Anolis sagrei: one gene and its partner. The protein of the gene in region 2 purifies or fractionates together with the protein of the main gene of each other region. This does not show direct contact. Links are inferred from orthologs where the notes say so. Each region holds a gene or a part of one and is shown on either strand. Other genes may lie near its edges.

Evidence for each region. The genes of interacting proteins can lie anywhere in the genome.
Region 1: the proteins of FTSJ1 (region 2) and WDR6 purify together in Homo sapiens (affinity purification with mass spectrometry; 3 studies listed by BioGRID and IntAct, with this or other methods). This does not show direct contact. The link is inferred for Anolis sagrei from reciprocal best matches to the Homo sapiens genes FTSJ1 and WDR6.

Annotation. Positions count from the first base shown.
Region 1 is NC_090022.1:28,501,738-28,509,965, reverse strand, and holds the start of WDR6 (tRNA (34-2'-O)-methyltransferase regulator WDR6), read left to right. Parts: upstream 1-4,926; 5' UTR 4,927-4,983; intron 4,984-8,115; 5' UTR 8,116-8,177; coding exon 8,178-8,228. UniProt on the Homo sapiens protein: Together with methyltransferase FTSJ1, methylates the 2'-O-ribose of nucleotides at position 34 of the tRNA anticodon loop of substrate tRNAs. Required for the correct positioning of the substrate tRNA for methylation.
Region 2 is NC_090022.1:179,132,357-179,140,432, forward strand, and holds the start of FTSJ1 (tRNA (cytidine(32)/guanosine(34)-2'-O)-methyltransferase), read left to right. Parts: upstream 1-4,794; 5' UTR 4,795-4,898; intron 4,899-6,865; 5' UTR 6,866-6,885; coding exon 6,886-7,006; intron 7,007-7,717; coding exon 7,718-7,787; intron 7,788-7,889; coding exon 7,890-7,992; intron 7,993-8,076. Other genes in the region: GPKOW (G-patch domain and KOW motifs-containing protein), read right to left, coding at 330-436, 528-667, 904-1,040, 4,461-4,630. UniProt on the Homo sapiens protein: Methylates the 2'-O-ribose of nucleotides at positions 32 and 34 of the tRNA anticodon loop of substrate tRNAs. Requisite for faithful cytoplasmic translation.

The DNA of each region.
Region 1 (8,228 bases), about 150 Mb from region 2:
TTTGTAGCTGACTTAAGTGGTCCGTGTAGATGTGCCCTCAGTTTCATAGAATGAGTGGTAATGTGTGTCTTTTTTGTCGCTGTCCTTATTGTTGTGTGCCTTGGTTAGAGGCCTGTGCAGTCTGTGACTGGCCAAGTCAAACATAGCCCACCAGCTGAGTATATTGTGATCTGGCAGAAGCTTAACATTTCTTTCTGTCCTCTGTCATCCCAGACAGTAGACAAAAGTTAGAGGTTGGGTTGCTGTAAGTTTTTGGGCTGTATGGCCATGTTCCAGAAGCATTCTTTCCTGATGTTTCGCCTGCATCTATTCATAGATGCAGGCAAAATGTTAGGAGAGAATGCTTCTGGAATATGACCATACAGCTCGAAAAACTTACAGCAACCCAGTGATTCCGGCTATCAAAGCCTTCGACGATACAAAAGTTAGAGGTTGATCAAAATCCGGGAAACCTATGTTTAACTTAGTGAGTCACAAGCTGTATAGGTCTGTGGCAAAATTATTGCGCTTTATAACTGGGTGAAGTTAATGGGGCATGTTACCACTCCACAGTCAAATTGTAGTTCCCATCCTTTGGTCTAAGTATTTTGTAGTTCAGCTTCCACAATTCCTAACAACTGGTAAGCTGGCTGGGATTTCTGGGAGTTGAAGTCCAAAAGAACCGGAGGATCAAAGGCTGGCAACCACTGAACTAGAGGAAGAGATGCCTGTCAGCCTTCTTTAAGTGAAAGAAGCAGCCCTCCCAGTCCCCAAACATGTGCCTGTAGACATCACCGACTGAATGCAATTTATGTTCATGAATTTATGATCATACACTTTAATACACTTAGTTTGCAAGGTGGGGTGGGAATCTTGAGATCCTCCAGATGTTGTTGGACTGCAACTCCTCGAATTTGTTATCTCTGGTCTGAGCTGCTGAGAGTTGCAATCCAATGCAGGGGGTGCATAATTCCCATCCTTGCTGCCTGGGACAGGGATGAAGTCACTACTATTTTGATAGGTTATTGTGAGGATGAGTAATCTTGAAGGTTCTTGTTTTTCCAAGTAATTCCAAGGTTCCTCAAATGTCATCACATAATCATTTTAGCAGTTTAGTAAGTCTAAGCAGATAAGTCTGCAAACCCTTTTTTTCGTGTCAGGACCAACTTGAGAAACTGCAAGTTGCTTCCAGTGTGAGAGATTTGGCCATCTGCAGAGTCATTGCCCAGGGACATCTGGATGTTTTGCCATCCTGTGGGAGGCTTCTTTCATGTCCCCGCATGGGAAGGTGGAGCTGACAGAGGGGAGCTCACCCCGCTCCCCGGATCTGAACCACTGACCTTTCAGTCAGCAATCCTGCCGACAAGGGTTTAACCCATTGCACCTCTGGGGACTCCATAGCCTATTGAAGTCTGTCTAATAAAGTGGTTCTCAACCTGTGGGTCTCCAGATGTTTTGGCCTTCAACTCCCAGAATCCTAACAGCTGGTAAACTGACTGGGATTTCTGGGAGTTGGAGGCCAAAACACCTGGGGATCCACAGGTTGAGAACCACTGGTCTAATAAATCTGTTAGCCCGTTGAAGTACTGTCTAATAGCAGGAAACTGTATGCTGTCTCAGACTATGGAGGAATTTTCTTCTCTGGAAGTTTTTTAAAAAGTTAGATGGCCATCTGTTGGGAGTGCTTGGATTGTGTGTTCCTGCATGGCTGAATGGGGTGGGACTGGATGGCCCTTGGGGTCTCTTCCAACTCTCTGATTCTAGACTTGGCTGAAAGGCCCTGCCTCACTTAGTACTACTGAAGTGCAAGCAAGTTGAATGCAAAAGAGATTTCTCTTCGTTGCCGTTCTTTCTGAACTAGGGCCTTGTATTTCTTTTGTGTGTATGTGTTTGCCCTAGAGCAGGCATTCACTTCTCAATTATGATATTTCCACATTACTAGCTAGTGATATGTAAACATGTAAGGGTTTTCTATTGTTTGAAGAAGCCAATAATTGGGTAGAAGTGTGTTGGCACTTTATGATTGTAATCCAAAAATACAGAAGTTCTCCTGAGGCCAGAAAGTAGCATCGATACAATGGCTTGCTTTGCCCAAAGGCATGAGATACGGACCCAAACCCACAACCGAAACCTCTTGCTGACCGTCGCTAGTCCGAGTGCCCTCACGTTGCTGGTTGCATTTATTAATTAAGTGATCAGCATTTATTTTGGTTGTTACCGTGTGTGTTCTTGACACCTTTGTATTCCTAAGTTATTTTGCTTCCTTATTTAATATTTATTTTATTTATTTATTATCCCATGCACAGACGTCAGGCTGTCTATCCTGCCAATAAAAAATTGGAAACCCAGTGTTGTCTGTTCTGTTGTTTTGAGCTCAAAGGACACCATGACTGTTCCTCAAAGACTTGCTTTATTAGACGTTCAGTGTGTAATGTTGCCAGTCTTAAATGTCAAAATACAAGCAACAACCTCTGCTGCCCCATGACATGATTTGTATGTGCTTTTTAAAGAATATGATTACACTATGTAACATAATTTTTGTTCTTGGGTTATAAATGTCATTTTCCTAATTGGTTCTATCATTTAAAATATGGAAAACGTTTATTACACTGCAAAAACATGGTTTTTGTGGGAAATCCTGCAGCACATTTTGCTATAGTTTTCAATGATTATTTCACAGACTCTCAACCAATTCAACGTAGTTTGTGGCAGCCACAAAAATGAAATTCATGGAGTAGAACTATTTTCAAAGTTAGTACTGCAGAATGAAATAGGAAATTACACTTGCAAACCCGGAACAGATTTTTTTTTTCAAATTTTCTTACATAGTGTTAGTGATGTGATGTCCACTATTAAAAACAACAGGCAAGCCATCATACTCTTTAATAATAATAATAATAATAATAATAATAATAATAATAATAATAATAATAGGATTTAAAGATCAAATTGGCACAAGCCAGTAAAGGTTGTTCCAGTGGTGACTGGCACACTGGGTGAAGCTCTTGAACACCTTGGCCTGCACTTATAAACAATCGATGCTGGCAAAATTACCATCTGTCAGCTGCAAAAGGCCACCCTACTCGGATCTGCACGCATTGTTCGCTGATACATCACACAGTCCTAGACACTTGGGAAGTGTCCCATGTGTGATCCAATAGAAAGGATAGTATAATGATCTTGTTTGCTGTGTACTCATCTTGTGTAAATAATAATAATAATAATAATAATAATAATAATAATAATAATAATAGGAGGAGGAGGAGGAGGAGGAGAGTTCCTGGGAGAAATTGAGAGCCAAATTGACAAAAGAAAAAACATGGCTGTGGCTCCCAAATGGAACTTTAAAAAAGGAGATAAAGGAGGACCTGATTCTGGCAGCCCAAGAACAAACCATTAGAACCAATGCCATCAAAGCCAGAATTGGAAAAGTCGATGACAGATCCCAAGTATAGACTCTGCAAGGAAGCAGATGAAACAATACATCACATCCTCAGCTGCTGCAAGAAGATCGCACAGACGGACTACAAGCAGAGACGTAACACTGTTGCTCAGATGATTCATTGGAACCTGTGCCACAAATACCATCTGCCTGCGACAAAGAACTGGTGGGATCACAAGCTGGAAAAAGTTATAGAGAATGAACACGTCAAAGTACTCTGGGACTTCTGAGTTCAGACTGACAGAGTTTTGGAGCATAATACTCCTGATCTCACGATCATGTTAAAAAACAGTGTGGATCTCCGATGTTGGAATCCCAGGTGACAGCAGAGTTGAAGAGAAACAACTGGAAAAGCTAAGACAATATGAAGATTTAAAGATCAAATTGCAAAGACTCTGGCACAAGCCAGTAAAGGTAGTCCCAGTGGTGATGGGAACACTGGGTGCAGTGCCTAAAGACCTTGGCCTGCACTTAAACACAATCAGCACTGACAAGATTACCATCTGCCAGCTGCAGAAGGCCACCTTACTGGGATCTGCACGCATCATTTGCCGATACATCACACAGTCCTAGACACTTGGGAAGTGTCCGAAGTGTGATCCAATACAACAACCAACAGAGATCTTGTTTGCTGTGGACTCATCTTGTTATGTTTCTAATAATGATAATAATAATAATAATAATAATAATAATAATAGACAAACAACTGGAAAAGTTGACACAGTACGAAGATTTAAAGATAGAACTGCAAAAACTGTCACAGGTCAGTAAAGGTGGTCTCAGTGGTGATTGGCACACTGGGTGCAGTGCCTAAAGACCTTGGCCTGCACTTAAAAACAACCAGCGCTGACAAAATTACCATCTGCCAGCTGCAAAGGGCCACCCAACTTGGATCTGCACGCATTATTCGCTGATACATCACACAGTCCTAGACACTTGGGAAGTGACTGATGTGTGATGCAATAAAAAGGCCAGTATAGTGATCTTGTTTGCTGTGTACTAATCTTGTTGTGTATCTGTTATGTATCTAATAATAATCTTGTTGTGTATCTAATCACAATAGTAATGTTTTATGTAGGTGTCTCTCATCCTAATAATCTGCTTGTGTATCTAATAACAATAATAATGTTTTATTTAGGTGTCTTTACACTATAGAATGAATGCAGCTTGACACCCACTGATTTTAACAGGTGTGTGTTAATTGTTTTAATTATTAATATTTTAATATTTTAATGTATTGTTGATTGTTTTATTATGATGACACTCCCCCCCCCCCTCGGGAGTGAGAAGGGCGGGGTATAAATATAGGAAATAAATAAAATAAATGTAGTTAAAGTGATATCCAACTGCATTCCCTCTTTGCAACAATGCTTCTGCTGCACCTTTAAAAGCTCCTCGTCCCGCCTCTCCGGGTCTGAACGCCCGTCGAATCACAGCGCAAGGATGAACGACCTTGGGAGACCCAGCGTCCAATCACATTCCGCGTTGGGATGAGAACTGGAAAAGAAGACTCGCGATTGGCTCGTGAGCTGCTTTCGCCAGAGGAGCGCGCGCCGGGCCAGGTAACAAGCGCGTGGGGCCTTTTAAAGGGGAAGGGGCGCTGCGAGGAGGACCCCCCCCCCTTCAGGGTCTTAAATTGCCCTTTGGCTCTGGGCTTGTTTCCAGACTATACTTGAGCCCCTGTTTCGTTTCCTGTAAATGTAAAGGGACTCTGGGTTGCAAGGGTGCAGAATTAATACAGTTTGGCACCACCAATGACTGAATGCTATGGTATTCTGGGAGTTGTAGTTTTGCAAGGCCTTTAGGCTTCTCTGTACCCAAAGTACAAATCCCAGAACTCCTCTGACTGTGAGCCAATCTGGCAGGGTCTTGGTTGTGTTTTGTTTTGGAGCAGAAGGACCACATTTTGGGAATCTATCAAGCATGGGCAGACTTGGGCCCTCCAGGTGTTTTGGACTTCAACTCCCACAATTCCCAACAGCTGTGCTTCTTGTAGGTTACAGCACAGTCCAGGATAATAGTCCAGAAGCAACTGCTGACTACTTCTTTAACTCTAGATCACTGCTTCTTAAACTGGGATCCATCCCCAAGTGGAGTCCTCTTAGCTCAATGCTGAAAAACTTGGCAAAGGTAAAAGGTTTCTGATCATCACCCATTTGCACAAATCTGTTAGCAACAAGGGGCAGTGTTTATAGTGGACTCTGCAGAAAATGCTTCAGCTGTACTCCACCAAAAAGATAATCAGCCTGTTTAGCTAGTCTTGCAAATGCTGGTTTAGTATCAGGAAATATTTGATTTCTGTACCTAATTTACATAACTATATACCTGGGCTCATGTGAAAACTTCTTTATGGTTTTTAATGTAGATGTTTATTTTATTTGTATGTCTGCTTATGTGGCATTGAATTGTTGCCTACTTGTAAGGCGCAGTGAGTCCCCTTCAAGGTGCAAGAAGGCGGGGTATAAATATAGGGGTTTGTTTTTTTTGTCGTGTCAGGAGAGACTTGAGAATCTGCAAGTCACTTCTGGTGTGAGAGAATGGGCCGTCTGCAAGGACATTGCCCAGGGGACGCCCAGATGATTTGATGTTTTTATCATCCTTGTTGGAGGCTTCTCTCATGTCCCCGCATGAGGAGCTGGAGCTGATAGAAGGAGCTCATCTGCCTCTCCCCAGATTTGAACCTGCAACCTGTCAGTCTTCAGTCCTGCCGGCACAGGGGTTTAACCCACTGCGCCACCAGGGGCTCCACCAAAAAGATAATCAACCTGTTTAGCTAGTCTTGCAAATGCTGGTTTAGTATCAGGAAATATTTGATTTTTTTACCTAATTTACATAACCATATACCTGGGCTCAAGTATTTATTTGTCGTGTCAGGGCAACCAGTCAATTGTATTACATTTCTAACAGAACAAAGCAAACAAAACAGACAAAGTACAGAATTGTGAGTTTGGTAGTTGATTAAATGTCCTTTGACCAGTATCTGGCCACTTGGAGTCCTTCTGGTGTTTCTGCAAGAAGGTCCTCCATTGTGCATGTGGCAGGGCTCAGGTTGCATTGCAGCAGGTGGTCTGTGGTTTGCTCTTCTCCACACTCGCATGTCGAGGATTCCACTTTGTAGCCCCATTTCTGAAGGTTGGCTCTGCATCTCGTGGTGCCAGAGAACAGTCAGTTCAGCGCCTTCCAAGTCGCCCAGTCTTCTGAGTGCCCAGGGGGGAGTCTCTCATTTGGTATCAGCCATTGGTTGAGGTTCTGGGTTTGAGCCTGCCATTTTTGGACTCTCGCTTGCTGAGGTGTTCCAGCGAGTATCTCTGTAGATCTTAGAAAAGATCTAGTAAAAACTTCTCAGGCAGATGTTTTTTACCCTTATGGTAGATATTTATTTTATTTGTATATCTGCTTATGTGGCATTGAATTGTTGCAGGGTAGAAGTGTCTGAAATAAATAAATAAATACTTGTAAGGTGCTGTGAGTTCCCTTCAAGGTGAGAGAAGGCGGGGTATAAATATAGTAAATATAGCAAATATAGTAAATGGTCTGGTTGCCCCTGACATGATAAATGAATGAAAAAATATAGTAAATACTGATAAATAAATAGTTTAAGAATAGTTGTTTGCTGTGTACTCATCTTGTGTATATAATAATAATAATAATAATAATAATAATAGGATGAGGAGGGGAGTTCCTGGGAAAAATTGAGAGCCAAATTGACAAAGAAAAAACATGGCTGTGGCCCCCAAATTGAACTCTGAAAAAGGAGATGGAGGGCCTGATCCTGCTCTAGATCATAAAGGGGGATGTGAGTACTCTAGCTAATGTTGAACTACAATTTCCATTATCACTGACCATAAGCTCTGCAGGTTGGGACTGATATGAAGAGGGCCCGAGCTTCCTCTCCTCTAAATTGTTCTTATTTTCTAAGGCGATAAACAGCATATTCCTTAATCCAATCTTTTTTGAAATCCAGAATCTCCATAACCTTTTGGAGAAAAATGTCATTCCCAACCATTTGAAAATAATAACCTTTTTGCAAAAGTATGATCTTCCAAAGAGAAGCCAAAAACCTCATTTGAGTAAAATCTTCTCTTCAGTGGTATATAATCACATGTACTTATGCAAGGCAATTTGGTTTCCAGTTTTTAGACTGATAACCCGGTTGTCTCTCATCTGTTAGGAACAGAGGTTATGCCAATACACAAAATATAGCAGTTCTTGGGTGCACAAAAATACCTCTACTCTCCCATAAAATATCTTGTTTCTATATCATGCTCTCAAGATTTTGTTAAAAGTGATATATTTGGTTTACTCATATCCTTCATGTATTCAGCATACAGGTACATAGCTTGTTAATCCAGTTACAGATAGGTCTAAAAGTAGTTTCTCTGTGCATATAACACAGGGCATCTTTCTTACAATCAACAGCATCATGAGTTTGCTCGTAACAGTCCATAGTCTAATGGTGTTTCTGCTCTAAAATGGAGACTGAGCTCTGAGCAGTCCCAGATCTGGAGCCCCTCCCACAACCTCAAGAAACATAGAGTAAAGGGAAAGCTGCATATCAAAACATACAAATATAATACAGTAAACAAACCAAATCCTATACAAACAAATTACTAGTGTGATATTGAAGAAGGTTGCTATTTTCAACAAATCTGAATCAATGCATATCTACAACATTGCCACCTCTCTCTCCTCAGACGTCTGCATGTCCTGAGAAAGACAACTATCCAAGGTCCTCTCTTTCCCTCCTTCGGGCGCAATGGAAACAGAACTGCTCCTGGCCCCTATCACTGCTTTGGAGATTGTGGGA
Region 2 (8,076 bases):
GCAAAATATGCATACGCAGAGATTTTTTTCTAAGCACTGACTACAACCAATTCATTCTGTTGAATCTCTTCTGAGAAGTGACTTGCTGTTATAAAAATGTCACAAGTGGTCTAGTTACCCATATGCATCCCTTCTTTCCTCTGCCTCCCATTTTCAGAAACTTCGCACCTAAACTTTTTATTTTATATTTGTTCACTGCTAGAATTTAGACTGTGATATGTTGAGGCAATAGCCTACCTTTTCTGCTTAAATGACTTGAAAAATTGTGGTATAAAATGTATTATTGTTATTTCTAATACTATATCCTGCAGTACTTAAGAGATACTTACTGCTTGAAAGTGCGACCAATGCCCTCGCCGGCCTTCCAGCCCATGCCCTTCAGCATGGCAATACCATAGGCTTCCACTGGTACCTCTTCATAATCTGCTGCAGTTGACTACCAAATAAAGTGAGAAAAGAAGAGGCATTAAGCCCTCTTTGCCAGAAGCTCCAAAGGTCGAACCTGGTGAATCCATCCCAACACCTACCGATTCTGGGCGGAGGCTGACATCCACTTTTTCTCCATCCTCAAAGCCATCAGGCACTTTGTTCTGCATGAGAAGGGGAATAGCAAATGTGGGATCTGGCTTGGTGCCACTCTCCCATTGCTCTTGTGACTTCTTGGATTCTAAATATGAAGATGAGTGAGAAAGTGTAAGCTAAAGTTGTCAGATTGGCAAGAAATATGAAATCATTCATATTCGCAGTACTGTTGAGGCCTCCACACCCAACCAAATTAGTCCACTTGACCTTTTGTAATATGGTTAATTGAAAAGAGAAACAGTAATTATATCCCTGTACTTGCTCTCAAAAAAGGAAAATGGTGCAAAATTTAACTAAGAGGTACAGCTAGGCTGTACTCACCTTCTATAAGCTCTCGGATTGCTTGAGCCTCGTCACCATTGATGGCATCTGGCTCCGGAAGGGGTGCTGGCTTTTTCCACTGGTTCTTCTGGATGAGAGGAATGACAAGCTCTTTCGGCTGTGGGGCTGGCCGGACACTTCAGAGGAAAAAACATGCACCCATTTAGAACCACAGACAGTGTAACTCTACCTGCCTAAAGAAACCAATTGCAAAGAAAACAAGAAGCACCCCAGTGACTATATTCATGTCCACATGCAATTATTTCATGCTAAATTGGAGAAGAATTGGCTTGTTTTTTTTTAAATCCCACTTTTCTCTCAGAGGATGTAGGATAGTTACATTGAACTAAAGAAACCTGAAACCAACCTGAAACCAAGCAAATGGAGGCAGCAGATTCATAGTATATGGCCAAACCGGAGACTCTCTCTGCAGATGTGGTTGGATCACAACTCTCATTAGTCCTACCTAACATGATTGATACTGTGTACTAAATGCAGTCTCTGAGTAACAGACATCCAACTTACAAATGATTCACAGTTAAGAAAGGGGGTGAGACAACAGGAAGTGAGGGAAATCTACCCCTTGGAAGGGAAATTCACTTCGGTAAGAGTTATCATGGGAGAAAGAGCTTTTTCTCCAATATCTGTTTCCATAACAAGCCAATTTTTCCAAAATCTAGTTACCACAGGGTCAGAAAGTGAAGTGAAATCTTCTTAACAGGGGCATAGACAGCCAAACAACCACCACAGGGGTCTTAACCCTTCCCCATGCTATTTAAAGCATGTGTATTTGTGTGCACGCATGTATATGTATATGTGTGCACACACATACATATACTGTATACATATTTGGCTGGAGTTACAGTTCTGTTTCCGCTTACATACAAATTCAACTTATGAACAAATCTACAGAACCTATCATGTCTGTAACTCAGGGACTACTTGTATAGCATCAGATACTCTACAGCTGGGGTCCTCACACTTTTTAAACAGAGGGCCAGGTCACAGTCCTTCAAACTGTTGGAGGGCCAGATTATAATTTGGAAAAAAAACATGAATGAATTCCTATGCACACTGCACATATCTTATTTGTAGTGCAAAAAACATTTAAAAACAATACAATAATTAAAATGAAGAACAATTTTAACAAATATAAACGTATTAGTATCTCAGTGGGAAGTGTGGACCTGCTTTTGGCTGATGAGATAGGATTGTTGTTGTTGTATGCTTTCAAGTAGTTTCAGACTTAGGTCAACTCTGAGCGACGGCCGGGTAAATGACCTTGGAGGGCTATATCCGGCCCCCGGGCTTTAGTTTGAGAACCCCTGATCTACAGCATCACAAATATACACAATTGGCACTAGATAAGCCAGCTAATAAATGCAGTGAGCCTTCCTCCTTTAGAGGCCTTTAAACTGATGTCAGATGGGCATCTTTCAAAAGTGCTTCCGTTATGTATTGAGTGCTGCACCTTCCATGCTTAGTATTCTATGGTTCTAAGAATTTGCCATCTCGATCCAGATCTCTAGTAATAGACTTATATGTACCAATGAATTGTGTGCACTTAGCAAGTAAACTGTACTTCATGTTATAATACATTTGTTAGCCGAAAGCAATGGTATTCCCCATAGTCACCTACGGATGTGAGAGCTGGACCATAAGGAAGACTGAGCAAAGGAAAATAGATGCTTTTGAACTGTGGTGTTGGAGGAAAGAGCTGAGCGTGCCTTGGATTGCTGCTGTGTTTTTCAGTGTTTTTATGAGTGACGGTCACTTGTTGGCCTGATAGGTGTATTCTGTCCAAATTTGGTGTCAATTTGTCCAGTGAGTTATGTTAATCCCACAAACGAACATTTCATTTTTATTTATATAGATATACCCAGGGCCATATAAAGGTTTGTTGGCTGGAAAGGATTCCTCCAGTCCATCCTCCAGGAAATAAAGCCCGACTGCTCATTGGAGGGAAGGACAGTAGAGGCCAAGATGAAGTACTTTGACCACATCATGAGAAGAAAGGAAAGCTTGGAGAAGACAATGATGCTGGGGGAAACGGAAGGAAAAAGGAAGAGGGGCCGACCAAGGGCAAGATGGATGGATGGGATCCTTGAAGTGACTGGATTGACCCTGAAGGAGCTGGAGGTGGTGACGGCCAACAGGGAGCTCTGGCGTGGGCTGGTCCATGAGGTCACGAAGAGTCGGAAATGTCTGAACGAATGAACAACAACAATAGCCGAAAGCTGTCAACAACTACAATCTGAACACTAGTAAGTCTCTAAAGAGTGTAATTTTGACAGAGCCAGCCTGCCTCATTGTAACACGGTTTCTGTTCCTGGGTTATCAATGTAACCCAGCGGTGGCCGGGAGAGCTTTTGCACAACTAAAACTTGTGCGCCAGCTGTGCCCGTACCTTGGGAAGTTGGATCTGGCCACGGTGGTCCACGCTCTTGTTACATCCCGATTAGATTACTGCAACGCACTCTACGTGGGGTTGCCTTTGAAGACTGTTCTGAAACTCCAAATAGTCCAGCAGGAGGCAGCGAGATTGCTCACCGGAGCGTCATACAGGGAGCATACCACCCCCCTGTTGTGTCAGCTCCACTAGCTGGCGATCCAATTACAAGCACAATTCAAAGTGCTGGTTTTGACCTACAAAACCCTATACGGTTCCGGCCCAGTGTATCTGTCCGAACGGATCTCCCTTTACGTCCCACCTCGGAGTCTAAGATCTTCTGGGGAGGCCCTGCTCTCGACCCCGCCTCTATCACAAGTGAGGTTGGTGGGGACGAGGAGCAGGGCGTTCTCAGTGGTGGCCCCCCACCTGTGAAATTCACTCCCCAGGGAAATTAGATCAGTGTCATCCCTCCTTTCCTTTAGGAAAAAATTGAAAACATGGATTTGGGACCAGGCATTCGGATAATCTGGCAGATAAAGAAAGGACTTTGACGATGGACAGGAATTGACTAATGAATGGAATTATGGAACTCTGAAAGACGAATGCTGAGCATGAGATTAGTTTTATTGATGTGTTATATACCGACTGTTTTAACTGTGCTAATTGTTTTAATTATGGTTTTGTACGTTATGTGTATTTTGTGTCGGCATCGAATTGTGCCTTTTTGTAAGCCGCCCTGAGTCCCCCCTCGGGGGTTGAGAAGGGCGGGCTAGAAGTACTCGAAATAAATAAATAAATAAATTTCCTAATTGGGTCTATCATAAAAACATGGAAAAGATTATTAAACTGCAAAGACCTTGCACTGGGGCATCTTGCAACACATTTGCTCTAGTTTTTCAATGAATATCTCAATAGAGGATCGACCAATTCCACATAGTTTACGGCAGCCACAAAAACGAAGTTTCTGGAGTAGAACAACTACCTTCAAAGTAAGTACTGCCCATTTAAACATTGAAATAACACTGTCAAATCCTTGAATTTAACAACATTGAGACGAGGCAGTTAAAGCGGTGTCGAAGTGCGCTCATTCCACAATGTAGCTGCGCCTTGAGAGGCGCCCCCTGCTCCTAGGCCCAAGCTGGTCGAGAGCAGGAAGCCGGCCTACCTTTGCAACTCCCGTCCCTCGACGGCTGAGAGGAAGTCGGGCTCCTGCTTCGCCTCGCCGCCATCCTGCCCGGTCACCACCAAAAACCGCCTCCGCCCAGTGGTCCGAGTGAAGCCGAAAGAGACCGGGGCCGGCGGAGTGGCCGCTGACTTCTCTGCTCCTTCCGCCATCTTATTTTCCCCTGCCTTGCCCCGCCCCCATCGCCACTTACGTCGTTGCGTTGCATCATGGGAGACGAAGTTTTAGAGACTCCCGCTTCTTTATCGAAGTTCTGAAACAGAGGCGCCTGAGGACGACAACTCCCAGGATGCAATGCGGCAACAGCACTTCCTTCCGGAGCCGGCCGCACATAAGTCATGTTGCGCATGCGCTTCTTCTCTTCCACGCTTTTCTCTGCTCTCTGAAGATAACAATCGAGCACTGTCTGAATTTACACTGGTAATTATAGAGACCTTTGCTTTTTCTTATTCGGTTTGCAGATTTATAAAGAGATCATCGTTTATGGATGTCTCCACTGGATACCCGATGTCCTTCCGTTGTCTCGGTTTGTCAGGAAAACTCCTCCCATTTTTTCAGATGCTTTTAAGGCCCCCTGTCATATAATCCAGATTACCAAAGAAGATCAGCCACATTAGCTGCTTTGAACTGGATTATATGAGTCTATACAGTCTGGAAGGGGGGGGGCAGAAGACAGTTCCATCTTGTCTCCTGTGGTTTACTTATATAATATATTGTATATACATATATTTATAATATTGTAATGTAAAACAATATAATACTAATAATAATACAATATAATAATTATATATTTTATATTACATGTCATATTACTAATAAAATTACAATATAATGGTAATTATAGTATATATATTAAAATGCTCTGTGCATAATGAGTACCTTAAAAACAAAAGAACCAATTACACCAAATTTGGCAACAAAACATTTCACAACACAAAGAGTGACCATCACTCAAAAATTATGATTTTTTCATTTGGGAGTTGTAGTTGCTGGGATTTATAGTTCACCTACAATCAAAGCGCATTCTGAACTCCATCAATGATGGAATTGAACCAAACCTGGCACACAGAACTCACTTGACCAACAGAAAATATTGGAAGGGTTTAGAGGGCATTGATCTTGAGTTTGGGAGTTGCAGTTCACCTACATCCAGGGAGCACTGTGGACTCAAACGATGAAAGATCTATGCCAAATTTGGCATGAATACTCAATATGCCCAAATACGAACACAGGTGGAGTTTGGGGGAAATAGACCTTGACATTTTGGAGTTGTAGTTACTGGGATTTATAGTTCACCTACACAGAGCATTCTGAATCCCACCAACGATAGAATTGGCCAAACTTCCCACACAGAAGCCCCAGGACCAACAGAAAATACTGTGTTTTTCTTTGGTGACCCTTTTGACACCTCCTCACACACACACACACCTGGGGTCCCGACCCCCAGGTTGAGAAATGCTGCCTTAAGGCCATCCAGTCCAACTCCTTTCACCAGGGCAAGAAAATATAATCAAAGCCCTTCTGACAAAGAGCCATCCAGCCATAGATATAAATAGATAGATATGATCCACACACAGATATAGTATCATAGATTTGAAAAGGACCCCTAAAGAAGAAAAATTATATGTTGCATGTTCTACAGTAGGCAAACCAGACCATCTCCACATCAACACTGGCAAAGAAACAGCAAGAAATATTGTTTACCCACAAGCATAAAGAAATTACATATATTAGAAACCAACACTTTCCCGTTACTTTATTTTCCAGATCAGCAGACTGGGCCACAGCAACCCGTGGCAGGTGAAAGTTAGTAATATATAATACTGACATTATACTATGCTAATAATATATATTGAATGTATATATATCTTGTAAGCCGCTCTGGGTCCTCTTCAGGGTGAGGAGGGTGGCATATAAATGTCATAAATAATAAATAAATTTTCTATAGCAGTGTAGAAGGGGTAATTCCACACGGCTGTATAACCCAGAATATCAAGGCAGATAATTCACATCTGCTTTGAAATGGGTTATCAGAGTCCACACTGCCATATAATCCAGTTCAAAGCAGGTAATGTGGGATTTTATACAGCTGTGTGGAAGGGGCTTTAGCCAGTGGTCAGAGAGGTTAGGAACTTTTGTCTAGAAACACATGTTTTCCATTCCTATAGTGTGGGGGTTTGATAGGCTGTCTGCTCTGATTGTGCATGGCAAGGGGTGGACTGGATGACCCACGTGGGCTCTTCAGCTTTATTATTCCTTGAACCATCTTCACTTTTAACCAATATGGATGCCTTGATTTCATTGATTATAATAAGCCAATGCTGCTGCTCAATTCATAATTCTTGCTGACATAGTAGTCAATTGTTTTTCTTCTCTCTCACATCCAGGACATTTCATGTAAGGGAAGATGGGACGTTCCTCTAAGGACAAACGGGACATTTACTACCGCTTGGCGAAGGAGGAAGGCTGGCGAGCTCGCAGCGCCTTCAAACTTCTCCAACTGGATGAAGAATATCATTTGTTTCAAGGTGAGCCCCATCATACAATTGGAATTCATCTATCCAGAATGTGTGGGGTGAAACATTTCAGTTGTGCATGGGAGTGGTACAATCTTGCAGATGTTCTTGTACTGCAACTCTGATCAATCCTAGCCATCTTAGCCAAGGAGGACTTTTATCTGGTAGGATAAAAGTGATGGGAAGTTAAGCTGCAAGAAATAATCAAATTTACTCTGCCGAATAGCTGTCAGTTTTGGCCCTCCATATGTTTGGGACCTCAACTTCTAGATTTCCTGAAGGTCCAAAATATCTGGAGGATCAGAGTTTGAGAATCACTGGTCTAGACCACTATTCTTAAACTGTGAGTCCCAACCTCAAATGGGGTCCCCTTTAGCTCAATATTGGGATCACAAAAAAATTGGAAAAAGGTTTCTGAATGCCACCCATTTTCACAAATTTGCAGTGTTTACAGTGGACTGTGCAGAAATCACTTCAAGCTTGGCAATAGAACACTTCCTTTGAGCATATACAGAATACTGTTTGTTTGCCATGGAGATAATATTTTGGGGCTCAGAAGCAAGGCTATCATTTCGAAATTTGAGCAAACTTGGAAACCTTCCTTTTTCCCCTACTATCTTTTTTCAGGAAAGAAACCCATGAGTTGTACTTCCTAGTCTCATATTGCAGTCTTCTTGCCATGGCATCCCCTTACCTTTCTTATTCCCTCTTTTCTCTCTCTAGGTGTCTCAAGGGCTGTGGATCTCTGTGCTGCTCCTGGGAGCTGGAGCCAAGTTTTGAGCCGAAAACTGAAGTAAGCAAGTCACTTTGTTGTAGTGTTTATGGGGGACTACCACCTTATAGGAGATAACCAGAAATTCATCCTCAACACACACACACCCTTTTTTTTCTACAGAGGAGAAGGTGCTAAAAATGAAGATGTCAAAATAGTGGCTGTAGATTTGCAAGCCATGGCTCCCTTGTCTGGAGTTATTCAAATTCAGGGGGACATTACCAAGGTATTGTGTTTCCAACCCAATTCAAAATCCACCCTACCTCTCCTTGAATTTAAGGCCTACTTAATAGCAACCCTTTGGCCATTA